4 linked regions of the Diceros bicornis minor genome follow. The protein of the gene in region 1 purifies or fractionates together with the protein of each later gene. This does not show direct contact. Links are inferred from orthologs where the notes say so. Each region holds a gene or a part of one and is shown in the gene's direction. Other genes may lie near its edges.

Region 1 (6,887 bases):
ATGACAGCTGAGATGGCCCGCACTCAGGCCCAGGCCCGGGTGGAATTCGTGCTTCCAGACAAGCAGGTCATCTCGCTGGGCTCTGAGCGCTTCTGCTGCCCTGAGGCCCTCTTCCAGCCGGATCTGCTAGGCCTCAACCAGCAGGGCCTCCCACAACTAGCCCTCCAAAGCATCAGCCGGCTGGAGGCCAAGCAGCAGGAGCAGCTGCTGGCCAATGTGGTGCTGGACGGTGGCAGCACCCTGGTAAGTGGCTTTCCTGAGCGCCTGAGACAGGAGCTGGGCCCCTGTGCCACTGTGCTGGGCTCTCCCCACCGTGCTGTTGCCGCTTGGCTGGGAGGCTCCATCATGGCGTCCCGGGACTCCTTCCAGAGCCTGTGGCTCAGCCGCCGTGAGTACGAGGAGGAGGGCCCATGGGCCATCTACAAATACCATCTGTGAACACATAAAAGTTCTGGTTCTGCTTACTTTGAACACTGTGGCATGTTTTAGGCATAGGGTAGTGCGGGGAAGGGCAGAGGTCCAGGTATGGGGTCAGGGATGGGGACCTTGGCACTCCCAAGGCAAACCCTGCCTCTGCACACTACAACTCCATGGGCCCTGGCAATCCTATCCTTTCCAGAGAGCCCCAAGCCCCTTGGCTGGCATTGGCTCTGGTCTAGCCTGACCTTTACTGCAACTCAAGGGCGAACACAGAGAGTGGCTGCTGTGGGTTTTGCCCCGTTGCCCTGGTGACAAGTGCAATTACCCTTGATTGCCAGCTGGTTGCCATGGCAATTTCAAACATAATGTAATAACCCACATAGCCTGGAGTGAGTCATGAAGGGGGAACAGCCCCCTCCTCTAGCTCCAGAGGAGAAGATTGCTTGCCCTCCTCCATCTTGGTCCCTCTACAGGGGGCTAAGGCCAGCAACATGGACAACAGCCAAAAAATTCCAAAGATGGCTGGGGGCCTGCAGCATTTGTTGCCCCCAAAGGAGGGTCCCTGTCAGTCTGGACTTCTTGGGGGAGCTGGCCTAGTAATGCAGGTACCTCCTAAAGTCAACTTTGGCTGGAGCTCTCTGCTGGGTTGGCAGGGGCTTCCGTTGGCCAGTCAGAATAGGAAGGTATGAGAGTGCTGGCCTTTGGTGCCCTGGGGCAGGAAGTTGGGGTAGGGGGGCAAATAAGTCCTAGATCCTGGATGGGAGGTACAACTTGAGCTGGGGGATGATGCCCTGGCCTGCTTTGTAGGCTCTGTGGATACAGAAGCTCACAACTTATCCTGCCTCTCTGACTGTCTAGTTCTGGAGAGAGTCAGAACTGTCAACTTTGGGCTCCCTTCTCTTCCTCAGCCTCTCAAGTCAGGCAGCCCCTGCCCACAGGGTGGCCAGGGTACAGCCCTCCTCAGAAGATCCTCATGGAGGCTACCAGGCAATGTCAATGCCAACTGCCCCTGTCTTGTTCCAAACTCTTCCATGCGCTAAAGGGCCTCCTGCTCTCCCTCTGGCCAGGAAGGTGGCTAGAAGCCATGGCCTCTGACCTTGTTTGGCTCTGAATAGTGGGGGTAGAAATTAAGCTCCGTGTCAGCCCAGTCCATGGTGTGGAAGAGCTAAGAGGATGGCATTCAGCTGGTGTTGCTACTTTCTGCCCAGTGGGCAGCTGGAGACTGAAGCCAAGACAGTAAAGCCCTACCCTGCCTGTGCCTCTCTGGTTGGGGGCTGAAGGACAAGCCATAACCCCGTCCCAACCCTGGGTCCTCGTCTTTAGGTTACCCTCTCCACAAAGGGCAAAGACCTGCCCACCCCCACACATGCCTGAAAGTGAGGGGCTCCCCTAGGTGGACAGACTAAAACAGCCAACGATGTAGGGTCATCACAGCCCCTTTCCAGCCCTGGGCATGGTTCAATCTCTTCCCATGTCCTGCTCTCACACTGCAATTCAGCCTCCATAATCCTGAGGCCTGTGTCAGGCGAGAAGGAGACCGGTGGCTCCAGGGACCAATGGCTCCAGGGACTAGCTACAGTGTCTATGCGCATGTGTGAGCGAGCATGCTTGGGTACACACAGAATGCAGACACACATGCCCCTGGGCACCACAATACACACTGTGCTGTTGTCATCTCCTTCAGCATAACAGCGCACACACACATAGACACATTCACACGTGTGAACACACAACTCTGCCACGTGCTCTCACCCACAGGCACACGGAGTGTGCACAGGACCAAGAAGAGGTAGAGCATTGCCAGCAGCAGGCAGGGCTCTAGTGAGCCGCCTCTTCCCTTGCCTCTAAATCCCCCATTTCAGCTTCTCCTTGGCCCAGCTGCTCCACGCCTGGATAGCCATGACCTTTAGGAAAGACAGAAAACGTGTGTGACATGTGTGGGGTCAGCAAGCCATGGCTCAGCTGGACCATACAACTCAGAGAACCATTGTTTCAAGGACAGTGGACAGACAGCAGAAACGACTGAGTGCCAGACCATTCATTCATTCTGCAGACATGAACTGAGCATACTGAGATGAGACACAGGCTCTGCCCTGCAGATGCCCAGCTTACCAGGAGATTCCTACCCAGTGGTAGAGTTGGTGCCATGACTGAGACCACCCAGAGTCCAGGGAACCTAGAGTTGGCACCAGTCTGGACTGGAAGAGGTGATTCAAAGCCAGGGGAGGATGTAAATGGCTCCTTGACACCCCCTCTGGAGGAAGATATTGAGGGGCCTTGTTTGAGCAGTCATTTCCCAGGATAGCCTTCCAGCCCCAGCGCCAACTTCCTCACTTGGGCAGTCAGTTCTGTCAGTAACCATGGGGAGCCACGCAGGGGAGACTCACTCAATGTGGCCAAGGGTTTGGAGATGACTCTACACAGGATGGGGTCAGAAGGCTCACTGGGAGGGTTTGGTGGGGCGGAGTCCAGCTCCTCGCACCAAGAAGCTTAAGTCTGGCCTTCAGATACTGGCCTTAGGGCTTGTGACAAGGGCAGAGCAAGCATTGAGCCCATATGCCTCCCTGACAGGGGACAGAGCAATGGCCAAGGACTTCCTTCAGAGCTTCTTCCTGGCAGTTCTCAGCCCCCTCCAGTGAGGGACCAGGTCTGGTAGGCCACCTTGGTGCTGCAGTTCTCCTGTATCCCCATATCCCAGGCCAGGCCACCGATGGTGATGCTGCTCTTGAAGTGTTTGAAGGTGATTAAACCGGGAAGAAAGCAGAGTCCACACCATGTCATAGGTGACTTTTACAGTTTGGGAAATTCAGTGCCACACAGGAGGAGGTAGACTCTGCTAGCTGCCTGGCTGGCACCTAGGGATGGGAAAGGCTTTGGCCTGCAGGAGTGGAGGGTGGAGTGGGTTTTGAAGACTCTGCCACCATGGTCTGGGGCCCTCACTGACCACTTGCACATGCACACACACAACCACGTGTTTACTTACTCCTAGCTAAGGGATGCCAGTCTAGTGCCGCTTGCCCTAGTGACTGCCCACGTGGTTCTTTTAAGTAGCTTCTGCCCTTTGGGTCAGGTTTTGGGAGCTGGGCAGAGAGCTGGTCCCGCGGGGACTACTACTTGCCAAGAGACTGCTCTTTAGCTCCAGGACTCAGGCTTTCCCCACACCTCCTACTCCCCACCCCCTACAATGGCCATAGGAAGGCCCCTCCGGCCCCTGTTGCCCGGTCAGTCTGAGGGCGTAAGGGAGCCTTTGAGTGCCTGGCCGGGCCGATCAGGCCAGTGCTCACCGACACACCTTCCACCTCTCCTCCGCCCACCTTCGAGCGGGATTCCAGCCCCAGGCTCCACCAGGGGCGGGGCGGGGCCGGCTGAGGGAGGCCCCGCCCCCAGCCCGCCCCCGGCCCGGGGTGCGAATCCGGTGCCGATGAGCGGCGGGAGATGCTGGAGGTTCGCGAGCCGAAGCGGCTGCAGCTGGCGCCGCGTCTGCCCCGCGTGCCCGGAGTGGATTCTGCCCGCCGCCCCCGGAGCCCTCGGCGCCCCACTGAACCCGCGATCGATCGCTTCCTCCCTGTTACCGACCGGCGCTGCAGGTGCGGGGCGGGCCGGGCCGGGGGCGGGTGCCCCTTGAAGGCACGTTTTGGGGGTCTTGGGGGGATTGGGTCTCTGGCTCAAGGTTCGGGTCGCCGAGTGCCGCGAGGGCTCGGGGTCTCGGCGGGGGCCGAGCACGCGTGCTATGTAGATCCGGGGGTCGGCGGGCGGGGTTGGGCTAAAGTTCCTCGTCACCCCGGACCACTCGGTGGTCCCAGAGAAAGCCTCTGAGACTCAAGTCCAGGCGAATCTCCCCTCCCTGCCCGCCCCCCCCCCTCGCTTTCTCGCTGGGCTCCTAATTGTGAAAATATTAACCCTCGAACATTCGTGGTACCCCATGGGGGTAGGGGCTGAGAGCTGAGCCGTCCCTCCTGACTCCCAGAGCCGCCTCCAGCCCCTCCCAACTGCCCCCGGGCCCCCTCCCTCCCTCTTGGCAGTCACTAATTTCCATGACAACGGAGAGTTCTTTATGGGCGACAACCTGAAGGGGGCTGGGCGGGGCTGCCGCGGGGTGGGGGAGGAGGCTCCAAGCCCCTGGGGACCAGCGGCCCCCTAGCCAAGATCCAGCTTCCAAGCCGTAATGTGGGGGCCAGCTGGGGGTCCAGGGCACCGACCCAACGCTGCGCGATGTGGGTGGGGGACCCACATGTTTCTGCTGGGAGGTGCGGGGCTTGGTGCTCACACGTGTGCCTCCCGCATGTGTGTTGCTGTGCCAGCGGGGGCGAGTCAGCAGCACTGGAGAAGGGGGTCAGGGTGGCACCACGGTGGGGAGCAAAGCCCTTGGCTGGGGGTGGTGGACAATGAACAGAGTTTCTGCCCTCCCCAGCCTGCAGTGTCTACCAGAGACCCTGGGTTCTCCGAGCCCCCCATAGCTCCGCCAAACTGCTTTTGTCTGCACCCCTTAGGCAAAGCATACTCCACCAGATTCCCTCCTAGGGAGCAGGGCTCTCTGTCCCTCACCAAGAGCTCAGTCTGCAGCAGTCCCGCCTGGCACCCTCCTCCAAAGCCTAGGCTTTGAGCTCCGTAGGACCACCTGTGGAGAGCCCCCCACTCCCACCCCCAGTTGATTCCTGTCAGCTTTAGCCACTTGCTGGGCCCCAGTTTTCTCAACTGGGAAATGAGTGTCTCCACTCCTCTCAGTGTCAGCCTGGGCCCTGGGGTGGAGCAGAGGTCTCTCACCCTTTCTTTTACAGCATTTGGTGTGGACTCCCCAGGTGCCATAGGCTGCCGTTCCCCTATCTGCTGCTGGCCCTCCTCTCCAGCCTGTGCCCTGGCCACCACTGTCTAGCAGTCCTTGCCCTGGCCGGGAGAAGGCTACAGAGTCCATGATCTCTGTCCAGGGAAACTGAGGCATGGGGGCCAGGTGCTGTGCAGTTGTTATCCTGTTTCTGGGTTGCTTGGGTGCTGTTTCTGGTCCTCCTAACAGGGTCCATTGTTGGGGAGGAGAATGGCAGTGGCAGGGAATGAGGCTGAGCTGCAAGAAGGGCCCTGGGGACCCAAGGCCTAGAGAGGACAGCAGATGGGGGGGTGGGGGGTGTGCACGTGCCTGGGGAGTCTAGGTAGGGCTGGGCCAGCTGAGAGGAGGGGCTGTAAAGGGAAGCGAGGTCTCCAAACTTCATTTCCACAGCACCCCCCCCTCCGCCCCGTGCTTATGCCTGCGACATGTTGGACCTGCATTACCTAAGCTGCCGTGATGACAGGGAGAGGGGCTGAGGAACTGTTCTGGCTGAGGGGACTGCAACAGCGGCCTCTTCCCCAAGGCTACGGCTGTGCCTCTCACACCAAGTCCAGTGCATGTCTGGGGGATACAGGAGGGTTCAGTCTCAGAGGTCCAGGCACCAGGGACAGCTCCTGGCCCAGGTGTTCAGAACACATGGCCATGGAGAGCTTAGGGCTCTGCTGCACACCCTTAGGCCCCTTCAGAACCCCCTGCCCTTCTCCTTCTGTGTCTTTATGCCTGTGTCCCTTTTACTCTGTTGCCTCTTTGCTCCTCTTTCATCGCAGCTTCTGCCTTTGTCTTCCTGTGTCCCTGGCCCTCTCTCTCTTTTCTAAAATCTCTGGGTTTCCCCACCTCTCCTTTCTTGATGGGGACCAGGGTCACAGAACCCATGGGGAAGGAGCCGGGCCAAAGTCTCAGGGAATTCTTGGAGAAGGGATTTGGTCAATGCCTGCCGCCTGCCCCCCCCCCCCCCCCCCCCCCCCGCTGCCCCGTCCCCCTGCCGTTTTAAAAACTTCCATCACCATAGCAACTCTTTACTCTGGGGCCTTCCCCTGCATTTCCTCTCCTACACCCACAGGGAATCAGGGCCCCCAGTGGATTTTCCTTCAGGGGTTCAAAGATTGGGACCCCAGGTGCCTGGAAGTGGCCAGTTGGCTCTTGGCTCTGCCTGAATGCTGAGGCCTGAATGCTGAACTTGCTGGAGGTAGCACTCTACTGTGTGCCCACCCCCAAGACTGGAGAGGCCCTCCTCTTCATGCTCCCTCATTAGATAGGAGAGAGTCCCCGCAGCAGGAACGATGGACTGTGATGTAACCAGAGCCTGAGGCCCAGCCAGGGTAACCCCCTGCCCAGTTCCCTGAAGCAGTTGGATGGTGGGCTAGAAGCTTGGTTCTGCTTCCTGACACTAGACCCTGAGAGTGAGGTCTCTATTTCTCCCAGTCCTGTAGGTGAGGCCTCAGCTATGGGCCAGGCAGGGCTTGGGCCTATGTATGTCTGTTGCAGTGGGAAACCCAGCCCCATTCTCGGAGAGAAGAGAGGATGGAAGGGGAGGGGGTGCCTGCAGCCTGGTGTTCATAGCTGCCACTAAATCGGGAGGTGTTGCCCACAGTTGTTGGGAGATAGCTGGAGGCCTCCTGGGCCCCTCGTGACCTCCCTAGATTTA
Region 2 (6,899 bases), on another chromosome or scaffold:
GCCTTGGGTTCTGTAAGCAATATACTCCACACCTAGGAATATATTTCTGGCCCATATACCAGGTGACATAAAAAGCTGCCAGCTTTGCCACCTGGCACAACAAAGGGCTCTGCAGCAGGTCTGAGTGTGGCGCAAGCAGCCTTGCTTGACACTTGGGCTAATGGATCCAGCAGATCCTATGGTGTTAGAGGTGTCAGTTTTGGAAGAAGATGCAGTATGGAGTTTATAGAAGTCTTAGAAGGAGAATTACAGCTCAGGCTCCTGGGGTGCTGGATCAAGGTTGCACAACTTTTGAAAAACAGCTCTTGGCATCCTCCTGGTAAGGAGAGAATGCTTGACCATGGGGACACTAAGTGATACAAAATGAAATGTGTCTCGTTGAATCTACCATGTCATAACTTCGGAGGGGGCCCAGTCACAATTCATCATAAAATGAAAATATTAGATTTGGGATGAAGCACAAAGAAGACCAGAGGGTACAAATAATCTACATGAGCAGATAGTGCAGACCTTGATGTCACCCATCACAGTTTCATCAATACCCCTCTCTCAGCTCACACTGATGGCCATAGTAAGGGGTGGGGTCTCAAACAACAAGCTGAAGGAAGAAAAAACGGCCAAGCTTAGTTTACAGATGGGTTGGCTAAGAACGTGGATGAAAGCTGAAACTGGACAGCAGCTACGTCAAAGCCTCACTCAGGAACAGCCATGAAGACAGAGGAGAGGGACAAGCTTTCTAATGGGCAGAGTTTTGGGCGGTGCCCAAAACTGTGGTCATCCACTTTGTGTGGAAGGAAAAGTGGCCTAACTTTAGAATATAAACCAGCTAACAGGCAATGGCAATAGCCTGGCTGGCTAGTCAGGTGTCTGAAAAGAAAGAGATTGCAGACAAGGAGGTCTTAGAGGGTTAGAGGAATGCAGATGCACATATCAGTGTGGGCAAAAAGTGTGAAGATCTTTTTATCACACATCAGTGTCCACCAGAAAGTATACATTATGAAAGAAGCACTAAACAACTACGTAGACCAAATTACTCAGCTAGGTGACGTTAGCCTGTCTTTGTTAGTGGCCACCCCAGTGCTGGCACAATGGACAAATGAAAAAAGCAGCCATGCTAACAAAAATGGAGTCTGTGCATGGGTCCATCAGCATGGAGCCCACTTACCACAGCTGGCCTACCTACTGCCTCATCTGAAAATTCAACCTGACAGCAAGAGAGACCAATGTTGAGCTCCCAATATGTCATCATTCCTTTAGGAGATCAAGTTGCTATTTGGTGGCAAGTTGACTACATTGGGACCTTTCTACCCTGGAAGGGGCAACAGTTCCATCAATGGGAATAGATTACTTATTTTGGGTATGTATTTGCATTTTATACCCACCAGTCTCCATCCAGCACCACTATCTGGGGACTTACACAATGCCTGATCCACAGGCACGGAATACAACACGGTATAACATCCAATCAGGGAAATCACTTCACAGCAAAGGTGGTGCAGGAGGGCGCCCATGACCATGAGTTCCACTGGTTGCACCACATGCTGCATGTCCCAGAGGCCGGTGGCCTAAGAGAGCACTGGAATGGCCTGCTGAGGGTGAAGTTCAAGCACTTGCTATGACACAATACTCCGCTAGGATGAGGTGCTGTTCCCCAGGATGCAGTAGACCTTGATACAGCTCAGGGTCCCCAATAGGAACAACACATGGGTCCGGGAAAAAATGGGGTAAAACAGGAATAGCATCATTTACCATCATTCCCAATAACCTATTGGGGCACATAGCATTTCCCATTCCTGCAACTCTGAGCTTTGTGGAATTAGAGAGCCTAGTCTCCTGAAATGGTATATTCTTGCTAGGGGACACAGCAAGGGTCCTACTGAGCTAACTTTATCTGCTGCCTGGGCATTCAGGACTTCTTGAGTTCAGGGACGAGCAGACAAGAAGAGGAGTCAACATCTTGGCAGGATAAGCTAACTCTAATCATCAGAAGGTAGGCTTGATGTTACAAAATGATAGCAAATAAGAATATATGTGGTACTTGAATGATCCACTTGGGCACCTCTCCCTTACTCAACAGTGACTGTAAACGGACAAGTGCAGCAACACCTGCCTGAAAAGGAGATTATTACTAGGGGCTCAAATTTCTCAGGAATTAAGGTTTTCACACCACCAGTTTAATTATGAAGACCAGCAGAGGTGGTAGCTGAGAGTGAGGGGAATTCAGAATGAATAGTAGAGACAGGCAATGAATGCAGTTGTGGTTCAGGACCAACTGCAAAGATGGGGACTGTAGTTTGTCCCACTAACTTCTCTCTTCTAAGTTTCTCTTCAAGAAGAGAGGCCACCGGAACCCTGAATGAGTACAGACAGTGGATCTACATGGTACAAGGGGTCCACTGTGACAAACACACAGATGTGCTGCTCAGATACCTCTTCATCAACAGGCTGTTTGCCCAGCTGTGAGGAGTGTGGTTAGGTGACAACCTTCAACTGTTAACACCTTCAAGTCCACTTCAGCTTTTGAGTCAAGGCCACACTCTTATTGGGAAGGTTCTAGCTAATGACTGAGCAAGGCCATGTTACAAGGGCCTAGCTATTTTATCTCAGTATGAGACTCTTCATCTTTGCTCTAGAGCTACTCCTAGCCCATCCAGTTTCCTCCCTTTTCCTTTCACCTTTTTACTGTCTTAGCTCTAGCTCACTGTTTGCTTTCTGGAGGTCCCAAATGGCAAACCTCATCTTTTCCAGCAACATCCAGCTCCTCTAGGTCCTCTAACTTAATTTTATTTCTATTGATAATTGTAGAGGTGGTATTGTGCATTTTTCAGATATGGATACAAATGTTTACCAGATTCACCTCCTGTGCCCTGTATTGGTACAACCGAAATCTATGCAGTGTCTATTCCTATAGAACAGATCAAGAAATGAGCACACAGTGTGAAGTAACCTGCCAGAGGTCAATCGTCCATGAGTACGTCATAGATTCCCAAGTTAAAAAGTAGTCCAGCTCCAGTGTCTTTATCTGTAATCATTACACTCTTCTGTCACTAGGAAAAGGTTGGTAGCACCAGCACCCTAAAATTGTAATAGAGAAGTGTTTGGAGAAACCAGGCCTGGTGTATACAAGGTTGGGGAACATAAAGATACAGTTGTTTTAGGAGAAAATAGTTCCCAAAACAGTAACAAGTAGTATAAATTTTAGGTTTTGTTACTATTGAAAACTAAAGCTTAAGAAAACACTTTCATTGATTAACTCTGATCTCAGTACAGACTGCTATTTCCAAGCCAGTCAGGCAATCTCGTTATCCTCATGATGTCTCGCCAGCTGGATCTTAACCTAAAACAGGCATCATCTTCTCTACAGAATTAGCGTCTCGTCATTACTTCACTCCAATATTCTCCCATTCATGCACTTGTGCTTGAAATCTCCGAAATTAGTAGGCACTTCACCTTCGGTAACATTTTTGCTTATATAGATTCTTGGTCTAACTATTGTAAAATGTCCGAAAAAGGTGTCTGTTCTTCCTAAAATTTTCAAGGAAAAGTGACTACTAAGGTCTACTTTCTTGCAAACTATAGAGAAGTAGTTTTAGATAAAGTAAATTGCGCTAAACGCTAATCACTACCAGGTTTCCGGCGAGCCGCCTGGATACACGCTCCGCCGCTTGTCCAGAAGAACTACAATTCCCGAGGTACATTGCGGCGTTCTCAGCCTACAACTACAACTGCTTACGTCTTCTCCGTCCTCACAGTCGGTGCATGCTGGACTTTGTAGTTCGTATCGACTTATCTTTCGTCGCCGTCTTGGAAAGGAGAAAGTGTGGATGGATCGACTGCTATGAATCTGGTATTACGATATGGTATTTAAAAATAAATTAATAAGATAACGTATCAAAGCCAATTTAGCGTCAGGTTTTTATGTATTTCACGTTCCGCCTTCCTCCTACTGCCGGGCCCGGAAAGGGGAAGTGACGTGCTTCCGGTGTAATGGCGGTGCGGCGGCCCTCCAGGTAATTACCGAACTCCGTAGACTCGCGGCAGGCAGCGAACCAGAGTGGGGGTGGCGGGTTGCCGGGCCGGGTGGGAAGTGAAAGGGGCCAAGGAGTGGGTACGGGCTCGCTGATATGGCCCTGGGCGGCGCCGCGGTGCGCGGGGCTCTCGTGCCGCCGCGCGCCGGCCCGCGGGGTTGGAGTGAGAGCCGGTCGGGCGGAGGAGTCCGAGCGGTGGGGAGGCGACGCTGAACTCTCTTCCCGCCTGCGCGGACAGATAGCTTCCTAGTGAGGGTCCTGGGGCTGTTTCGACACAGTGTCGTTGTTGCTTGAATCCAGCACCGGTTCTTTCTGCGTTCGTGTGCGGTGTGTTTCGGGCGCGGATCGCTTAGAGCCTCCACTTGGGCTTCTTAAGGCCCCTTTCTTAGTGCCCGGCCCCAGGTCATGGGAATGGGATTAATGAACTGTAGTTGATTAAAAAATAGTGCAAGTTCCGCTCTTGCGCCTCTTTCCGACATAATATCCTTGTGACTGCTTCTTTAAAATTTCATTAGTCTTTTCTTTTTCATTCATTTGTCCTGTAAATAATGATGCTTCCTAGTGGTTAGTCCTGAGGACTCTTCGTTCCGCATTATGTGTGCTCTTCCTCTGTCATCCTTTGTCCTTCCGTAAATTGATCTGCCTCCAATACGATGGTAACTTACAAACTTGGGTCTTCAGTCTCCACCGCTCTATTGAGCTCCGGATCCTACAGTACACTTGCATATAACGGTAATATAATAGTTAATTTCACTGGGTCTAACTGCGAAAACTGCTTTACCAATTTTCACTTAATTCTCACAACAAATCTTTGAGGTAAATAGAGAAGGAAAAAATTGCAGAAAAGCTGTTCCAGAAGCCGGAATTAGGTGATTGAAAGTGCGATAAGAGTTCCCTTTGCCTTTTTCGGTGTCTACAGGCTAGAAATAGATAAACAAGAAGACTTGGGCTTCAGAAGGGAAGTTAATCTGCCTTTCCCTTTTCTATATTTAAATTTGTTTTGTTTTAGGATTGCCTGTGAACTCGGGAGTAAACCCCAATTGTCATCCTACCATGGAAAAGCGAATTTATAATTGGCATTAAAAGTGTGGTTTTGATCGCAAGAACGTTGCTCAAGGCAGCATCTGTGGGAGAAGGAGACCTGCTTTTGTTGGTGCTGAGTGATGGACCACTAAGGCGAAGATGCCAGTCTTGGTTCAGCACTAAATAAGTCTGTCATTTGGGGCAGGTTACCTAACATCCGTAGTCTCAGCTTCCTCATCTGAAAAATGTGGATAATAGTAATACTTACGTACCTACCTGGGTTGTTTTGAGGATGAAGAAAAATACATATGAGGCACTGTGCACGGTGCCTGGCATACAGCGTTAGCTATTATATTATTGTTACTACTGCGAAAGAGTTGATGAATTCTCTCTGAGTCTCAGTTCTTGTTCTTTGGTTCTGAATGTTGCCCTTCCACTTTTAAGTGCCCATGCCGCCTTCATGGAGCCTTTCCCACCTCAGTTGGCTGGGGCCCTGAGACTTCAGAGGCTGAGAACGTTGATCCGATACCCTGGTCCAGTGGTTCTGCAAATCTAGTCTCCTGAATCAGCAGCACCAATGTCTCCATGGAACTTGTTAGCAATGTAAATTATTGGGCTCCACCCCAGGCTTGTTGAATCAGAAACTGGGGAATGGGGTGCCTATGAGTTTCTTTTTTACCAAACCATCCACGTGATTCTCATGCCAGTTAGTTTGAGAGCCACTGTTCTAGCCCATCCCCTTCTGATCTACTGTGGTTCACTCCCACCCCCAGGATCAGGTTTGCTGTTTTCCTTGCTCCACAATGTTTGATCTTTGGCCAGCCAGTATTTCCTTGTTACTATGCCACCACATCCTTCCCTGCTTTGGATAGTTTACCTCCAATCACTTCTGGAATTCTGACATTTCCTAAACTACTTAACTGTGTTTCCTAAACCAGCCTTTTTAGCTCGATCAGTTTTCCCAGCTGCTGAATTGTTAGAGGTTAACTCTCCTCCCTGATGATTGTACGTTGCCAAGTGATCTGCAGTGGCTGGTTGTACCTGAGACCACCTACGAGAGTACACAGTGATAACATTGGGTATTTGTAATGCCCATGCCTTAACTTGAACATTTTCTGTTTATTGCCCACTTGTATTTAGACTAAATTTTGTAGTACCTGGTGTATTCCTTAACTTGGTATAAGTCATCGCTGGCCTAGAGCTAGTTTAAGAATGAAGTGGTTTTTGGTAATATAGCTGATCCTACTGATGACTTGCAGGGCTTCTTTGTTGCATTTCTCTACTTTTCTGTTTAAGTGTGAGACTCCTAGCATGGGAGGGCGGTGGAACAAAGCATATTAGTTTCTCTGGAGTGTTAGTTTCAGCATACTTCCAGACTTGCTAAACCTGTAGCCTAAATATCTTATCTCAGTATATACATTTCCCAAGTGGACATTGGAAGAGACATTTCAATGCCTACAACAAAGTGCACACTTTCAAAGCATTTTTTTAAAAAATAGTGTATCAGGAGAGGAAGCAATAGATTAAAGCAGGCCTTTGCTATTATAGTCAAGGTAATAAATCTTTCCCAGTGAACACATACCAACAAGGTGGTATGGGCTGCCTTGGCCTGGGGACATAAGGGTTCCTGTGATTATAGAATAGGTTAGCTAGTGGGAGGGAGAGACCCAGTGGAGATTCATTTTTAACTTGACTTTAAGCCTAATTCATAAATGGATCAGGCTAGACAGAGTTCAGCACTTCCACATGAAAAGTTATCCTGTGAGTCCTTCCCTGATAGTTAAGGTCAGCTTTATTCTAGACCTGGTGACAGGAGCCTCTGTAGTGGAATGTAGTGCTGTGTGTCCA
Region 3 (7,959 bases), on another chromosome or scaffold:
AAAATAACACATACTTCACAGATAATACATGTGGAAGCAATTCCTAAACTCTGCGGTACTAAACAAATATCAGTTATTACTGTGAGATTGTCTTCCCATGGAAGATTTTTTAACCAAGGAGTGTGACACTTGCAAATGATGCTATAGGAAGATTGATTTTGTGACAGTCCCTGCATGAATGGATGGAGAGAGAAGTTGGAGGCCAGAAGACCTGTTAGGAGGTTGGCTCTACAGTCCAGACAAGAGGTAATGCAACCTAGACAAGGACTGATGGTCACAGAGTGGAAAGGAGGACTCAATCTGTCCAGGTGATTAATGAAGAGAGAGGGAGTATGGCAGCTATGGCCCTGGGAGAACAGTGGACAACAATGGCACAAAAAGGAAGTATGGTGGCTGGTGCCTGGAGCTGGTGGTTAAAGCTGTGGACACACACGAGCTCTCTGAAGGAAAAGGAAAGATAAGGCAAACTTAAGGCATTAGAGAAAGAATACTATGGAATTAGGAGACAGGAACAGACTACCCACATCAACTCCTTCGAAGTGGCTAATCCTTCAATTACTGGTACTTCTGTAACAATTTCCAGAAGGACAAAGAGAAGACTGGCAACTATGAAACAAAGAGCAAACTGGAATGACTGTCCTGGGGGACACGCATTGCCTTGTGTTATCTTTGCCAGTATCTTTCTCCACGTCCATATGGATCCTACCTCCCCAAGCAGGTTGTCAGATCCTCAAAGGGCTCTGGTCATTCAAGTTTCTAGGGCCTTCACAGAACCAAACTTTGTACACAGCAAGTGGTTAGAAGACACTGCTTGCTTGGTTGCTTATAAAGGAGAGGCATGGGGTGAGAGAGGAAAGTTACTGGGTGAAATCTAGGCTGAAGACAAGCTGAGTTTGTTCAGTAAACTTTTAAGAATGCTGAAGTAGTCACTAATATTTAAAAATCAGGAAATTTCAGATACTAATCTAGGTCTTTTATTCCCCTGGGAAACTGCCCATTGAGTGAACGTGTACTCTTGCTGGCACTAGGTATGCAAATAAAAATAAGGCTAAAAGAGCTCTTGGGGGCTAGGGTGCAGGAATCCTCAGAGTAAGCATGACCTCTGCTGTGGGGCAAGTGTGGTAGCCATTTTGTGCAGACACTGCTTTGGAGACCTAGAAGCAGGAGCCATTAGCTTTGCTTGGTGGAATCCAGGAAGGTTTCCCAGAAGAGGTGATATCTCAGCTGAGTCTTGAAGGATGAGTATGAAGTTGTCCAAGGAATGGAGGGGAATGAAAAGGTATTCCTAGCAGGGGCAGGGTAAGGGTGCAAGGAAGTCCATGGCATGATGGAGAATGATGACGTGTTCTTATGGGGCCAGACAGAAGATACATGGTTGGGAAAGGCCTGTAAGAAAGCTGGTAATGTAGACTATATCCTGATAGCAAAGATCCAGATCTGTTGAACGAGTCGGGAACTGATCTGGAAAGCAATGGGGTGCCACGGGAGAGGGAGGCAGGGTTAAACAGGGGAGGGACATTGTTCAGGTGATGTCAAAGGCTCACTCTGGTGGCTTATGGGAGGCATGGATTGGGTGTAGGGAGAGACAAGAGGGCTGCAGGCCAACCACCTCTCCTAAGGGAGGAAGTCACGTTCTACTCCTCATCGCCATATTTGGCAACCAAAGTAGTTCCCCAGCAGGCCAAGAGTAGTGCCTCTAAAGCTGAGAGAGTGCACCTGATTTAACTAGGTCTTGGCTTGGAGGACAGCAGCAGTGAGTGCATACTTTGTTCCCTCTGCCCACCAGCGAATGTACCCCAGTGCTGCATCAGGAGAAAGGCCTCACCTGGGAAAACCAAGTATACCGCAAATGCATTCTATCCAAGCAAGCCTTTGCATACAGGTCTTACCCACTACCTTAAACTGTAAACTCCTTTTGGCTTGTGCATCGTCCTTCCCTCTAGGGCTGAGCAGCATCCGACACATAGTAAGTGCTCAATGAACATTTATTAATCTGAAGCAGGGACACTTCTACAAGATCTGGGCAGTTGCACATTCACTGCTGACCCCAAGTGAGACCCAGAATATTGTGTTTTCTAACAAAAAATTACATGAGATTTAGTCAGAGGTCTTAAATTTATCAATCTTGGTTCAGCCACTCAAGAGCTCTGTGTCTGTGGACAAGCCACATAACTTCACTGAGACTCAGTTTGCTTATGTATTTTTAAAAAACACTAAAATTTTCTAGGAGTATGAGAGAGTACCTGGAAGCACTTTGCAAACTGTAAAGTACTCAATGACCAAAAGTTGTATATCCATACAATGGAATACTATTCAGCCATAGAAAGGAAGTACTGATACATGCTACCACATGGACAGATCTTAAAAGCATGATGCTAAGTGAAAGAAGCCGGACAGAAAAGGCCATACATGGAATGATTCCATTTATATGAAATGTCCAGAACAGGCAAATCTATAGAGACGGAAAGCAGATTAGTGGTTTCCAGAGGCAGAGGAGAGAAGGGAATGGACTTTGATTGCTTAATGGGTATGGGGTTTCCTTTTGGGATGATGAAAATATTCTGAAACTAGATAGTGGTGATGGTTGTACACCATTGTGAATGTACTTAATGCCAGAGAATTGTACACTTTAAAATGGTAAATTTTATGTTTGTGTATTTTACCACAATAAAAAAAAGCCAAAAATAAAGTGCTATATGCGAGTTGATCATCGTGAGGAGTTGTCGATTCTTGCATTCTATGTGCAGCCCCCGATCCACTTTTTGGCGTTCAGATAATTTACAGAATAGGTGCATCTCCACTAAGGAGCCTCTTTGGAAGAGAAGAGCTGGAGTAGGGTTGGGAGGTGGGAAGGAGGAGCTGCAGGCCATCTGAAAAGGGAAGCTGGATGGTATTTGTTTCGTAGATTGCCAGTTGTTCACCCTGTTTGTATTTAAATGAAAGGAGGCTTTGAAGTGGGAGCCGCCTCTGAGCAGGGCTTGGGGTGCCTGCCTGGTGTGGTAAAGTTCAGACTTGTCCAGATCCGTTTCTAGCCAGAGGTTACTGTTTCTTGTGGAAAAGCCTCAAGTTTTGGTTAATAATACATGAACAGGAAGAGCCGGAGTAAATTGGGGGGCAAGGAATGAGTTTCCCCCCGGACGTGGTGTGAAAAGAAGCTTTCTGATTTGGGCCTCACGTTTTGGGAGTATCTTTTTCTTGCTATGGTCACTGGATTTCATTTTATTATTAATGCTGGTTGCATCTCAGATCATATTCTCTTTGGTAAAGAACATCTTTAAGTAAATGCATCAATCAATGAAAGTTAAAGGTGCTGGACTAAGCCCTAGCAATGCTTTGAGGACATGATGATTATCAGTTTCGAGAATACCTGGACTATTTAAAAGTCCCTCAAAAATGGCAGAAAATTCATTTGTTGTTGAATTTGCATATTTAGAAAAACTCCTCTCCTAGTTAGAGTTAAATGTTCTGCCAACCCACAGAAGTTCCACGTCCCACTTATAGATGGGTCGCAATTTGTCTGTTTATCCTGATGATCTCCAAGAGTTAATAAAATGTAGAAGAGTCTGCAGTGGGCATTCAAAACAACAGCTACGCTAGTTTCTATGGCTCCTCAGTAAAGGACGTCTCAACAAACCCTATGAGGGCGATAATTGTAGTGATGGTTCATATCTTCACCCTATGTAATTTTATGGGAATTGAGAGTCTTGCCAAATAATAAGTTCCAGCCCCTTTTATCTGCCCAGTTCCCAGCACACTCCCGAGGTGTCTGAGGCACTTCTCACCCTAACCTCTTAAAGCAGATTGTAACAATAACAACGGTAATGACAAGTTTCCAATCTGCACAGTTCCCTTCATTAAAGGAGCCCGGGGAGCTTCAAAAACACTCATTAATGGAATCTGACAAAGCTTGGAAGGTGGGAAGACTCGCCCATTTCCAGTTTTCTGGTGGCTAAGTAGAGTCTGGGTCCCAGGGAGGTGTCTCTCTCAAGAGGCTTGAGGGTGGAGGGGAATTGAGGGTCCTGGGCTACCATTATTCCATGTGATGGGGGAGTAAAGTTCCGGGTTCTGGACCGACCCCCCCTAGCTGCGTGCTATTAGCAAGTCACTTCCCTTCTCTGGGCCTCAGTTTCCCTACATGCAGGAGGGTTTGGGCCAGAAGGTCTCCAAGGGCAACCCTGACTTGGTCCCATCGCCTCGTGGTTGAGGGGTTTCTCCTGCTTCAGGGTTTGGTTAGAATGGAAGCTGAACCAGGCGGGGGAGGGGGTGTTGGAGGGGGAAAGCGGGGGAGGAGAAAGCCTGCTAGGGATCCGAATAAGTCGGCGCTCCATGAGCACCGTTTGCTGGGAAGCAGGTCTGAGGAGGCCAGGTGAGGCCCTAGAGGGCCAGCTGGGAATCCCAAGTCCCCATGGTGCCTGCAGCGAAACAATGCGAGTAATGCCAGCGCCTTCCCCTCCGAGCCCAGGAGCTGGCGGTTAGGAGCGTCCTCCGGGCTGCGGGACGGCAGTGGGGGAGCAGGTACTGAGGCGGGAGGGCTCTGCCCGGCTTAGGCCGGCGGGCAGCGGGTCAGGTGGCCGCGCGCAGAAGGCCTATAACTCGGACGTGGGCTTCAGGACAAGTTCCAAGGCGCTCGGTCCCCCAAGACTTGGGCCCTTCGCCCCAGAGAAGTTAGCCTTTCCTCCCCCGATGGGGGGCGGCGGGCAGGCTCCCCGCCTCCCCGGAGGAGGGGAGAAGGGAGGAGCCCAGCGGGGCGTGTCGCGCGAGGGAGCGCCCGCGCGCCCGGTGCGGCCCCCTAGGAAGTGGATTTGGCCGCTCCGGATCCAACCCCGCTTCCAGGTTTTCTCCCGTCCCGGCTCTGCGTGCTCCCGCCTGTCTCCTGCCCCCCCGCCGCCTCCCCCTGAGTGCCGCCCGCTGGGCCAAGTTTGTCGAGCGTCGCCGCGCACGCCGGCCAGTCAATCAGCCGCAGAGCTGAGGAGGGTACAGCCGCGCGGCCGAGGGCAGAGTGAGCGGAGTCTAGTCGAGCCGGGGGAGCGGAGCAGCGCCGGGCAGCCCCAGCAGCGCGCAGCGAGCGCCCGCCGCCGCCCACACCCTCCGCGGCCCCCGCGGCGCCTGCCACCTTCCCCTCCTTCCTCGCGCCCCTGTCCCGCCGGCCGGCCAGCTTGCCTCGTTCGCTGCCCCCGTGGAGCCCCGAGGTCACCGGCCCGGCCTCCGCTCCCTGGGGCCGCGCACCGCCTCCACGCCCTCCTCCTCGTCCTCTCCCGGCCGGGCGCCTGGCACCGGGGACCGTTGGCTGACGCTCGAGGCCCAGCTCCACTTTTCGCCCCGCGTCTCATCCTGCTGCTCTCCTCCTCCAACTCCAGCTCCCTCGCCCTCTCGCTCCACTCTCGAGCCCTCGACTCCGCGCCCCTCGGCCCACGCCCGCAACTTTCCGTCCGTCGCAAAGGTGGGAGCGCGTCCGCCCCGGCCCGCACCATGGCACGGTTCGGCTTGCCCGCGCTTCTCTGCACCCTGGCCGCGCTCAGCGCCGCGCTGCTGGCTGCCGAGCTCAAGTCGAAAAGTTGTTCGGAAGTGCGACGTCTCTACGTGTCCAAAGGTTTCGACAAGAACGATGCCCCTACGCACGAGATCAACGGTAGGTGGGAGCCCCCGGGAGGCGAGCGCAGAGACTGGCACCCCGGAGAAGGGGCCGCGGAACCCCTCTCGCCCCGCCGCCCCCCGCGCCGCACGCAGGTACCCAAGAGAGAAATGGGCAGGCGAGCGAGACAGGGAGCGCGAGAGTGAGCCCCCGCGCAGAACGTTCCCCGCGGACGCGGCGGCCCCTGGCGCGCTGCGAGTTGCCCGGTGCCACTCCCGCGCTCTGCTACCACCGCCCCCCTTCCCCCCCGCGGTCTGCCCGGTCCCAGGAAGCCCCAGAGGACTCTGGCCCGCAAAGTGCGTGTCACTGGCTCCCTCGCCTTTTCCGGGTTGAACTCCTTACTGGGCTCCCCGCTTTGTTGCGTGGGTGACGAGAGGCCGGGTGGGGGTGGGGGGTTGCCAGTGGGGTGGGGGAACCTTCTAGAGCTTGCCAGATTCCGGGGGACGCAAAACGTGGAACATGAATTGATGTTTCATTGATGTTCTTTAAAAACCCTCTCTCTGCCTCTCTTCCAACCGCTGACACGGATTAGGAATTTTAGTAGCTACAGCGGCTTTAGAAGTCGCCTTTAAAAAGCAAAACGACTCTCCACTCCTCCAAACCCTGACTTTTGGGAACTCTCCTGCTTTCCGGAAGGTGTTGGATGAGAAGGGTATTTTTTCCCCCCTTTTTTCTCACCTCATTTTAAGGGTTAATTGCACGTTCAATTACAAACCTTTGAAAGGACTGATTACAGGAAACCTGAATCTCGGTTTGGAGATGGTTATGCAAATGCAGACGGCTTAACCTGTGAAAGAGTTCACCGGATTTTGGTGCTGGCGGGTGCGTGGGGTATTTGTGAGAGCCCTTATTGCATCGTTGGGGAGGCAGCTTTCCGGCAGGCGCTCTTCGCTCCTCCCCTCGAGGCCGGCGGCGGTGGCCGGGCCGGTCCCCTCCAGGTCGCACTCTCCCGTTCGCAGAGGCCAACTGTTGCGCGCAGCCCCGCGGGCCGTGCTGGGGCCAGCGGCAGCGCAGGTAGCCCGTTCGCCCCGAGGGTTCAAAAAGAACCACGGATGGAGCTGGCTGGTGGCCAGCAAAACCTAACAGTGAAGTGAGCGATTCGAGCCCCGGGGGCCAAGCCTCCATTCCGAACCTTTCATGGAAGTGAGCGGAGCGCGCCTTTGCCTCGCGGTGTTGGTCACACGGGTGGGGCGGGCGGGGGGCCGGCAGCCAGCAAAGGAAATACTGTAATTTCAACCAGGCGCTTCCAAAGGCTTAGGAAGACTTGGGGGTCATTTTTTGGAAGGGCTATTAATAACCTTGGAGATTAAGTGCAGTCATTACATGTAAATTACAAAAGTAAATTGAGGGAAGTTGCTGGGCACTTTCTGACTGTAACCGGCATCTGTCTAGAAATAGAGCCGAAGAAATTGTTGGAGCAGCCTAGCAGCCCACTGCACCTTGGCAGTTACCAAATAACTCGCACACTACTGATTAGAGACTGTTTGCCCTTGAGCTGCCTGTCTTTTTGGGAGCTCAAGTATGTCCTCACAGCAGTACGATTTTATTGGTTGTAGAGCCCTGAAAAGCCCTCTTTCTTTCCCTCTCCCTCCTGCCCCGCCAGAAGAAGTGAAGTGAACCAGCAACCACTGAAGCTTGGGGGCTCCGCGGGTCAGACCTGCGGTCTTTGTGCCCTGCACGGTTTGGGCCTGGGCCCAGGGGAGATGATTGGCGTGAAGGTTACAGTTGTCATTCCCACATTTTGAAGGGATAGCTGCAGCGATGCCCTTAATGGGGATGTGACAAGTTTTCATCTTCTGCTCATGCAAACAATATGTGCCTTTGAGATGAACTAGAGGCATTCAGGGAGTAGGTTGTGAAATTGCCCTCCCCACTTTCTCCAACTTTACTGTGGCCAGGCTCACAATGGCGGGACATCTTCCCCAGCCAGCATCTCAGGAGAAAGGAAGTTTGAAGAGTGCTCAAGGACTGTGCTAGGTGTTCCCTTGGATTGCCATGGTTCCCAGAAAACACCTGAGGAATATTTTTGCATAAATGTCTATCTGGACATTTCCCCCCCAAAGATAGGAGAGTTATTAGTGACCAGCAGCAGGAAATGGAAGCTAATGTGCTCACACCCAAAACATTTTATTCTTTTTGTCTTGTCCTTCATCTCCCTCCCAGGGCTGCTGCTTTTATTTCCCCTTTTGAATGACCTACTGGACTGCATTCTCCTGAGGAACAAAGGAAGTGCCTTTTTAGCTGGAATCCTTGGAGGACCACCAAGGACTTTAGCTCATGCAGTGCAATTTCGCACCACTTTCAACAATAACAAAAATGCATGACTG
Region 4 (7,973 bases), on another chromosome or scaffold:
CCTGTGTCATGCTACCTCCCACCTCTGTGCAGGAGCCACTTCTGCTGGGAAAAGAAGGTTTTAGCACCCCACCTGCTTAGCTTCCTTCTCTTCTGATGACGGGCCTTCCTTCACTCATTTCCCGAATGCCCTCATTGTGCCCTGCTTGAGAATTCCAGATGACTAAGGCATGCTGCTTACCCGAGAGGGGCTCAGAGGTTGAGTGGTCTGGAAGCTTCTGATTTCTACCACTAACAAATGCATCTTTTTTTAACTGGTAGAAAAACGCTCTGAGGCTAATTTTTTTTAATGCGCTGTTTTGTTTGCTGCTGTCTTAATTGTTGCCATGTTATATTTTATCGGTTTAATGTTTTAATTTTGTGCTTGGGCCCCGAGGCAATTCAGTGAAGGGTATGATTTGGAAAAGCAAGGATATAAAGAAATTGTCCACAGAAGAGGCAGCCTCCCAGGAGCCGAGGACAAAGCATAAGTGCCTAAAATGAATTTTATTAGGAACAAAACAAAAATAAACAACGTGTTGCCAGACAGAAGATATCAGACCATCCTGGTTTTGTTTTTTAATTTAATACCAGTTCTCCATTTCTTCCAAGGTCAGCAAAGGACTCACAACACGGTTCCTTCTCCATTGCCTTCTAGAAGCCTTCCTCATTTCTGCTTCCAACCCTATACTCACGGTGTGCGCCCTGCCTGCCCTGCCCTCCTCTCTTCTTCAGGAAGCAGGCTATAACCACCCTTGCACTTGCCAACGTTTATTGACTGCAGTTGGGGATAACGCAGCCAACAAGACAACCAGGAGTCTGCCTTCAGGGAGTTTACATTATAAGGAACGCATTCTCAACCGGGGCAATAACGCCCCCACGGAGGGTAAAAATTGGTTCTCGGAGGGGTGAAAAAAAATTGACCATCTTACAATGATTTGTATGCTCGTCACCCTGTTCGCTTTCTCAGTGAGTGGCCCATCCAGCCACCCAATCAGCAACCTGGGAGCTCATGGCAGCCTCGTGGCGGCCCAGTACGCAAAGGCTTCCACTCTCTCCCTGAAAATTGACGCCATCTGTCTTCATTCCCCACCTACCCAGCCTAGATCCGAGGGTCCAGAGATTAGGCACCATTTTTGCCAACAGTTCAGACACTGTTCCTTTTTTTTCCACCCATCTGGCAAAGCCCTAGGTCTGGGTAAACCCTCTAAGTACTTTCCCCCTGCCTGCACCTGAGGAGGTGAGCTGTGAAGGGGGAAATCACACAGCTGGCAGGACAGGACACATAAATTAATGGTCACCAACCTCAACTGGGTTGTCAACACTATCAGGCAATCGGGGAGTTTGTGGGCCAGTTTGCTCCTCCACTCTCCGAATGCTCATTCTCCTCCTTCCTTCAAACTCCTCACCACCTCTTCCTCGCTCTCAGCAGAAGACCTTGCCTCCCACTTTGCAGAAAAAATAGAAGCTCAAGATGAAATCTCCCTTAACATCCCACTACAAACCTACATCTACATCTGCACCCATCCTCTCTTTGTTCCTACTTTTGGTTCTAGAGAAGTCATCCCTCCTCCTCTCCAAGACCAGCCCCTCCACCTACACGCCTGATCCCATCCCCTTGCACATGCTCGTGCACATCACTTGATGATTATCTCCCCTATTTCCTAAACCCTTAATTAATCTCTCTCCCCTTCAGGCTTGATCTGCCATCAGCCTGTAAACAAACTCAGGTCTCTCCACCTTATAGCACACTTCCCCCCAACACACACTTAGACCCTGTCACGGCATCTCGCTCCTCCCCTTCACACAAAAACTTCTCAAAAGATCCACTGCCTCCCTCATCCTTCCTTCTCTCATCAGACCACTGCCATCTGACCTTCTCCGTCACTCCACAGAAGTAGCATTCCCTACAGCCACTGACAATCCCCATGCCTGTCAGTAAACCAAGGCCCATGGTTCTATCCTCATCCCATCCGACTCTCAGAGCAGTCTGCATGGACACTTCCCACTTTCCCAAAACTCATCCCTTGGCTTCCTGCCCTCCGCCCACTCCCTGGGTTTTCTCCTACCTCTCTTGTCCATTCCTTCTCAGCCTGTGCAGGCACATCCTCCTTTCTGCAGCCCTAACCTGTGGGTGTGCCTCAGAGCTCCAGCCTGGGCCACTTTCTCTTCTCTCCATGTTCTTCTCCTCACTTATCATCTCTCTACTGACAACTTCCCATTTTCATGTGAGTCCAAACCCAGGCTTCCAAGTGCCTACTCAGCATCTGCACTCGGTGTCTCAAAGACATTTCAAGCTCAGCGTGTCTAAAGTGGAACTTGCACTTTTCATGTCCCCTCCACACCCTCCCCTTGTTGCTCAGCCCCCATCCCAGTCCTCTCCTGTTTTCCCCATCTCAGTGAAAGTCACTGCCTGCCTGTTTGCACAGACAGCTCAGAGTCCATCCTAACACTCCCTCCTTACCCTCCATTCCAGCACATCTCTATGACAATTTGACTTCCTGATAACTTTGAAACCTTTCACAGTTCTCAGCTCCACTGCCACCAGTGCCACCCCCATTCTATTCTCCCTGGATGCCTGCCTGCACTCCTAACCCTGTCTTCCTGCATCTACTCATACACTAGTATTCCACTCTCCACTGGGCATTCACACAGGTCACATTAAAATTCAAATATCATTCTCTTCCTCTTGGGCCCACACTGTCAGTGGCTTCCTTCACTTTTAGGATGAAGAGAAAGATCCTTAATGTGGAATCTGGCTCTGCCCACCTTCTACACTCCCCAGTCCCCCTGCTTTCACTCTAGGCCCTGCTACAAGGGCCTTTTCTCACCTCTTCTCTCAGCTATACCTTCTGCCTCAGGCCCTTTGCACAGGTTCTTTCCTCTGCCCAGGATTCTCCCCACCACCATCCTCCCCTACACATAGTTCAGATTTCCTCACAAATATCACTTCCTCAGGGAACCCTTCCCTAACCCCCAAGAAAAGATAGCTCCCTCCTTCCTGTTAATGCTTTCCCAATAATGGCTCACACACATACAAGCACAGCACTGTTGTTGGGAATTCACCTGCGCATTTCTCCTTAGAACTCATTTACTCCTCATGACAACTCTATGAGGTAGAAATTATAATTATCTCTATTTTACAGATGAAGAAACTGAGGCACAGAGAAGTTATGTAACTTACTCAAGGTCACCTAGTTAATAAGAGGCAAAGCCAGAATTTGAACCCAGGCAGTGTGACTTCAGCAGAGCTTTTAAACACTCTACTGTTCCATAAGAAAACACTATCCTTTTCCTTCTGCACTTGCTCACTGTTTGTAACAATGTATTGGTATGACTATTCGTTTAGCACGTTTCTCCCCCATTAGACTGTAAGCTCTTATTGGGGTAGAGACTGTTTCATCCCCAATAGTAGGCCCTCAATAAATATTTGCTAAATGGCTGAATGTAGATTAGTCTTCTCCCTCTTTCTTACTCACTGCATTCAATCAGTCACCTCATCCTGTCCTGTTTCTTCCTGGAGCTGCAGTTCCTAACCCTAGGAGGTTCAGGTACGTGCTTATCTCTGTCCTGAAATTGGATGGAAAATGTTATGTATCCATACACATTCAAAATTTTCTACAGTAAAGGCTAGGTGGTTCATGCTGTCTTCAGATTCTCAACAGGGCCATGAAGTTAAGAAGAGCTGATTCAGGGCCGGCCCCGTGGCTTAGTGGTTAAGTGCACTCACTCTGCTGCTGGTGGCCCGGGTTCGGATCCCACACCGACGCACCGCTTCTCCAGCCATGCTGAGGCCGCGTCCCACATACAGCAACTAGAAGGATGTGCAACTATGACATACAACTATCTACTGGGGCTTTGGGGGAAAAATAAATAAATAAAATTATAAAAAAAAAAAAAGAACAGCTGATTCAAATATTCTCCAGCCTCTCTCATCCTCTCCCTGCCAACCTCGCCTCAACAACTACGATAGCCTCACAGCTAGTATTGTTCTCCACAAATCCATCCTCCATGCTTTGGTCATAGTAATCTTTTAAAAACATAAACCCAGGTCACCCTCCTGCATTAAACCAGTCAGAGACTATCTATTGCCCTTGGAGCAAAAGTGCAAAAACTCTGCTGGGGGAGGGGATGCTGTAGGCCCTGTCTACTTCTCCATCCTCCTGTGTCCTCACTGGTTCCCTCTTCCCCCCAACTCTATAGCCCAGCAGCACAGACTGGGTTCTATGTTTGGGTTTCTGGCCTATGCCCCGTGGCTTCTCCTGTCTACCCTCAGGAGGTGCCCTCTGCCTGGGGTGCCAGTCCTCTTCTCTGCACCTAGAAATTCCTATTCCATCTTTAAGCCTCCACTGAAACGTCTCTTGGGGGTTAGGTGCCCCTCCTCCCTGCTCACATAGGCTGTGCCTATCCCCGAGAAAGCACAGAAAGCACCGACTATCTCTGTTGTCCCCGTGAGCTTTGAGGGCAGCCGCCATGGCTTATTCATCTTTTTATCCCCCTATCCTAACTGAGCGCTAGCCCAAGGTACGGTGCTCAATAATGATTTGTTCAGTGAATGAATGAATGATGACAAATAGTGCCTGAAAAAAGTGTGAAATGAATAAATGAGTGGGTAATTGGAAGTTTGGGTCTGGAGAGAGATGCAGATGAGGATGTTCAGACATGAGTAAAACCCGATCGCAGCCATCAGAGAGCTAACAAGCAAGACTAACCTCTTCAAGGAACAAGTCTGAAGGATTTCAGAGGGAGTTACCCAAATCACGGCCGGCCCAGGGGTGGGTCCAGGTCTAACCACGCCCTCTCCCCGCCAATGGGAAATCTCATTGCCCTCCGAGTCTCCGCCCCTTTCACCCGCCGGGGAGGGGCCGATCACGCTACAGGAGACTACATTTCCCGGCGTGCCGCGCGGCTCCGGCGAACGAGGAGCCGGAAGTGGGGCGCGCGAGGTCTAAGGGCACGCGGGAAGTGGCGGGCGGGGATTGAGGGGGGCGTGCAGGTGAGACGACTGGCCTGGGGTCGCTGGCATGGCCGAGGCCAGGAAGCGGCGGGAGCTGCTTCCCCTGATCTACCAGCATCTGCTGCAGGCGGGCTACGTGCGCGCGGCGCGGGAAGTGAAGGAGCAGAGCGGCCAGGTAAGCGGCGCGCGCCGTGTGCGAGGGCCGCGTGCAGGGTCTGGAGAGCGGCGGCCCGCACCCCCTGTCCTGGCTGCCTGGCGGGCCCCCGGAACTGGATCCCGCGGTGCTCGGGGACGCGGCCAGGGGTGCCGAAGGAGCCGCAGCTTCTGCTCCCTCCTGCGGCTCCCAGTCCCTCTGGGCCTCAGTTTCCCATCTGTGCAGTGGGCGGGCCGGGACCTGTGATCGGATGCGCAGGGTTTTGTAATTCCCGCGCCCCGTACCTCCACCCCTTTCCTGGTGGCGGCAGTTTAAAGTTTCCTAAATCTCGGGCCACGTGGCTCCGCGTGACCCCCTCGGGCGAGAAGGTTGCTGCGAGTCTGAGGGATGGATAGCGACCAGCCCCTGGGGGCGAAGGAGAGCGCCGGGAGAAGGGGCCTGTGTCCCCTCAGTTGAGCTGGAGCTCAGGCCCTTAGCAGTCCTTCGGTGTTGAGTCGGACAGCATTGGGATTCGAACTCGTGGTGCAGTCATTTCTTACTCCATTGATTCTTACAGCAACTGTTCACCTGGTGCTCAGAGCACACGGTCCCCCAGCCCTCCTAGAACTAACAAAATCTAAGTCTAGTAAAGGAGATAGACATAAATCAAAGAATCCCCAAAATAACTGTACACTTAACACTACATTAAGTGCCAAGAAAGAGAGGCATAGGGTGCTAAGACAGAGGTGGCAGATTGCCCTTGTCAGCGATAGCCAGGGCTGCTTTCCTGAGGGAGTGGATGTTGATTTGAGATCTTAGAGAGGGGAGGTAGGTATTCCAGGCAGAGGTGCAAATGCCCTGCGGTGGGAGAAAACTTGTGTAGGTACTGGCCTCAGTAGAGCTTGTTGTGGCTTAAGTGTGAGGTACAAGGGTGATAGAGGTCCCTGGGAAGATAGTGGGGGAGCTGGCTGGAGCCTTACTGTAGGCAATTTGGGCTTCATCTAAAGAGCAGTGGTAAGCCACTGAAAGGTTTTAAGCTGGTATGGTGGACACTGGCCTGATTAGTCAATATGGTGTAGGCTCTGGTCCTGATGCTTGCTCTCAGGACCTCCCAGGGAGACTAAAGGGTGATGAGCCCTAAGACGTTATCTATGCTTTTCCCAGCCCTCTCTGGACCTCAGTTGCCCTTCTTACTCCAGTTATATCCCTTAACAGCTAAGAGGGGCAGGAGACAGCGCCCATTCGTTGGAACATTTGCCTAGGCAAAAGTAGCCTGCCCTTATGGAGCATACATTCTAGCAGGCGCAGACAGATGACAAATAGGAAAAAGAAGCGAATGATATAGTGTGTCGGGTGATGGTGGGTGTTAGCTATAAAAATAAGGCAGGCAAGGGGGATAAGGAATATTAGGGTTCAGTTATAAATAGGATGGTCAGGAAGCCCCACCAAGAAGGTGGCATTTGGGCAGAGACCTGAAGGAACGGAGGGAGTGAGCTGTGTAGTTAGCAGGAGAGAACATTCCAGACAGAAAGAATAGCAAGCCCTGATGGGGGCCGGGTGGCCTGAGACGTTTGAGGGACAGTGAGGAGGCCAGTGGGCCTGGGTCGCAGTAGAGTGAAACTGACGCTCGCAGTCTCTGTGTTATTGGCTCATGTGCTGGGGGCGCTGACCAGGTTGTCTCATTCAGGCCTGATAGCAACCTGCTAGGTGGGTACTGCCGTTGTCCCCATGTTATAAAGAAGGAACCTGAAGTTTGAAGAGGTGAAGAGATTAGTCCAGCCAGTTAACAGAGGAGCTCTGCCTGACACCAGGTGCACCCTCCTGGCCACTCTGTACCCCCTGACACTGCCCTTGCCCCACATTGTTCACTCAGCCTCCTTGGGGCACTTAACACCCAGGTTCTTGACATTTGCACCGAGAGTGGGCCCTCTGGCATCGGCTCCAAAGGCCTAGATTCCAGCTGGTTCCCTCTGCTTCTACCAAGGGACTGGCATCATTTGGTTCCAGTCTTTTCCCAGTGGATGAGTGGACTGCAGTCATGCCACCCGGATGCCTCTGGTGTCTGGGCTGTGGTTTGTACTGCCCTGGGGAGATTGACCAGCCTGGCCTTTAAAAGCCTTTTGAAAGGTCAGAGGTAGAAAAAGCCCTGTCTCGTGGCCTCTAAGCATAGAGAGTGGCAGGGAGGCTGGGGGCTGGAAAAATGCTAGCCTGGAAGATTCCAGCTCTAGTCGGTCAAAGGTACCTCTCACCAACATGTTGTCTTAAAAGGTTTTAGCTGGAAATACTTGTCCCGCTTGTCTCTGGAAGGTTTGAGTGGTACAGGCAGGGCCAAGCAGACATGTTTCCCAAAGCAAAAAGACCCCTTTCTCAACCGCTTGTCTGTGCAGGTAAGGAGGTCGTGGAGAGTTGGGCCCAAGGAGGACCCTTACTGTGCTGGAGCGTTAATTGCTGTTTTCTCTTTCCTTGTTTGCAGAAAAGTTTCCTGACTCAGCCTGTAACCCTTCTGGACATCTACACACACTGGCAACAGTAAGTCTGTTGGGGCTGAAGGAGTGGAGTAGGGACACGCCGAGCTCTCGGCTTGGAATAAGCTGGGATACTAATCTGTCCCTATAGCCCACTGTGGACGCCATTATCACCCCCGGGAAGCCAGGTCACATGGATGTGAGTCGGAGAGGATATTGAGAGCTGCAATCAATGTCTTTGAAGGACAGAAGCTTTCAGCAGCTTGTTATTCATTTAGTCAGCAAACATTTATTGAGTACCTACTGAATGCCAGGCCCTGTTCTAAGTATGGAGATGTTGTCGTGAGTGAGACAGACATGGTTCCTTCTGTCCTGGAGCTCACATTGGAGTCGGGGAGGGAGGCATGCCTCAAACAATGAAACAAACAAATGTAAAATTA

Evidence for each region.
Region 2: the proteins of CAMKV (region 1) and CWC22 purify together in Homo sapiens (affinity purification with mass spectrometry; 3 studies listed by BioGRID and IntAct, counting the BioPlex papers as one, with this or other methods). This does not show direct contact. The link is inferred for Diceros bicornis minor from reciprocal best matches to the Homo sapiens genes CAMKV and CWC22.
Region 3: the proteins of CAMKV (region 1) and GPC4 purify together in Homo sapiens (affinity purification with mass spectrometry; 3 studies listed by BioGRID and IntAct, counting the BioPlex papers as one, with this or other methods). This does not show direct contact. The link is inferred for Diceros bicornis minor from reciprocal best matches to the Homo sapiens genes CAMKV and GPC4.
Region 4: the proteins of CAMKV (region 1) and TCOF1 purify together in Homo sapiens (affinity purification with mass spectrometry; 3 studies listed by BioGRID and IntAct, counting the BioPlex papers as one, with this or other methods). This does not show direct contact. The link is inferred for Diceros bicornis minor from reciprocal best matches to the Homo sapiens genes CAMKV and TCOF1.

The regions. Positions count from the first base shown.
Region 1 is NC_080741.1:50,982,778-50,989,664, reverse strand, and holds the start of CAMKV (caM kinase-like vesicle-associated protein), read left to right. Parts: upstream 1-3,870; 5' UTR 3,871-4,007; intron 4,008-6,887. Other genes in the region: uncharacterized protein LOC131411027, read left to right, coding at 1-438. UniProt on the Homo sapiens protein: Does not appear to have detectable kinase activity.
Region 2 is NC_080749.1:60,247,447-60,254,345, reverse strand, and holds the start of CWC22 (pre-mRNA-splicing factor CWC22 homolog), read left to right. Parts: upstream 1-3,894; 5' UTR 3,895-4,010; intron 4,011-4,159; exon of another isoform or gene 4,160-4,760; intron 4,761-6,899. UniProt on the Homo sapiens protein: Required for pre-mRNA splicing as component of the spliceosome. As a component of the minor spliceosome, involved in the splicing of U12-type introns in pre-mRNAs. Promotes exon-junction complex (EJC) assembly.
Region 3 is NC_080781.1:121,554,010-121,561,968, reverse strand, and holds the start of GPC4 (glypican-4), read left to right. Parts: upstream 1-4,955; 5' UTR 4,956-5,469; coding exon 5,470-5,629; intron 5,630-7,959. UniProt on the Homo sapiens protein: Cell surface proteoglycan that bears heparan sulfate. May be involved in the development of kidney tubules and of the central nervous system.
Region 4 is NC_080740.1:67,357,536-67,365,508, forward strand, and holds the start of TCOF1 (treacle protein), read left to right. Parts: upstream 1-4,970; 5' UTR 4,971-5,002; coding exon 5,003-5,110; intron 5,111-7,541; coding exon 7,542-7,597; intron 7,598-7,973.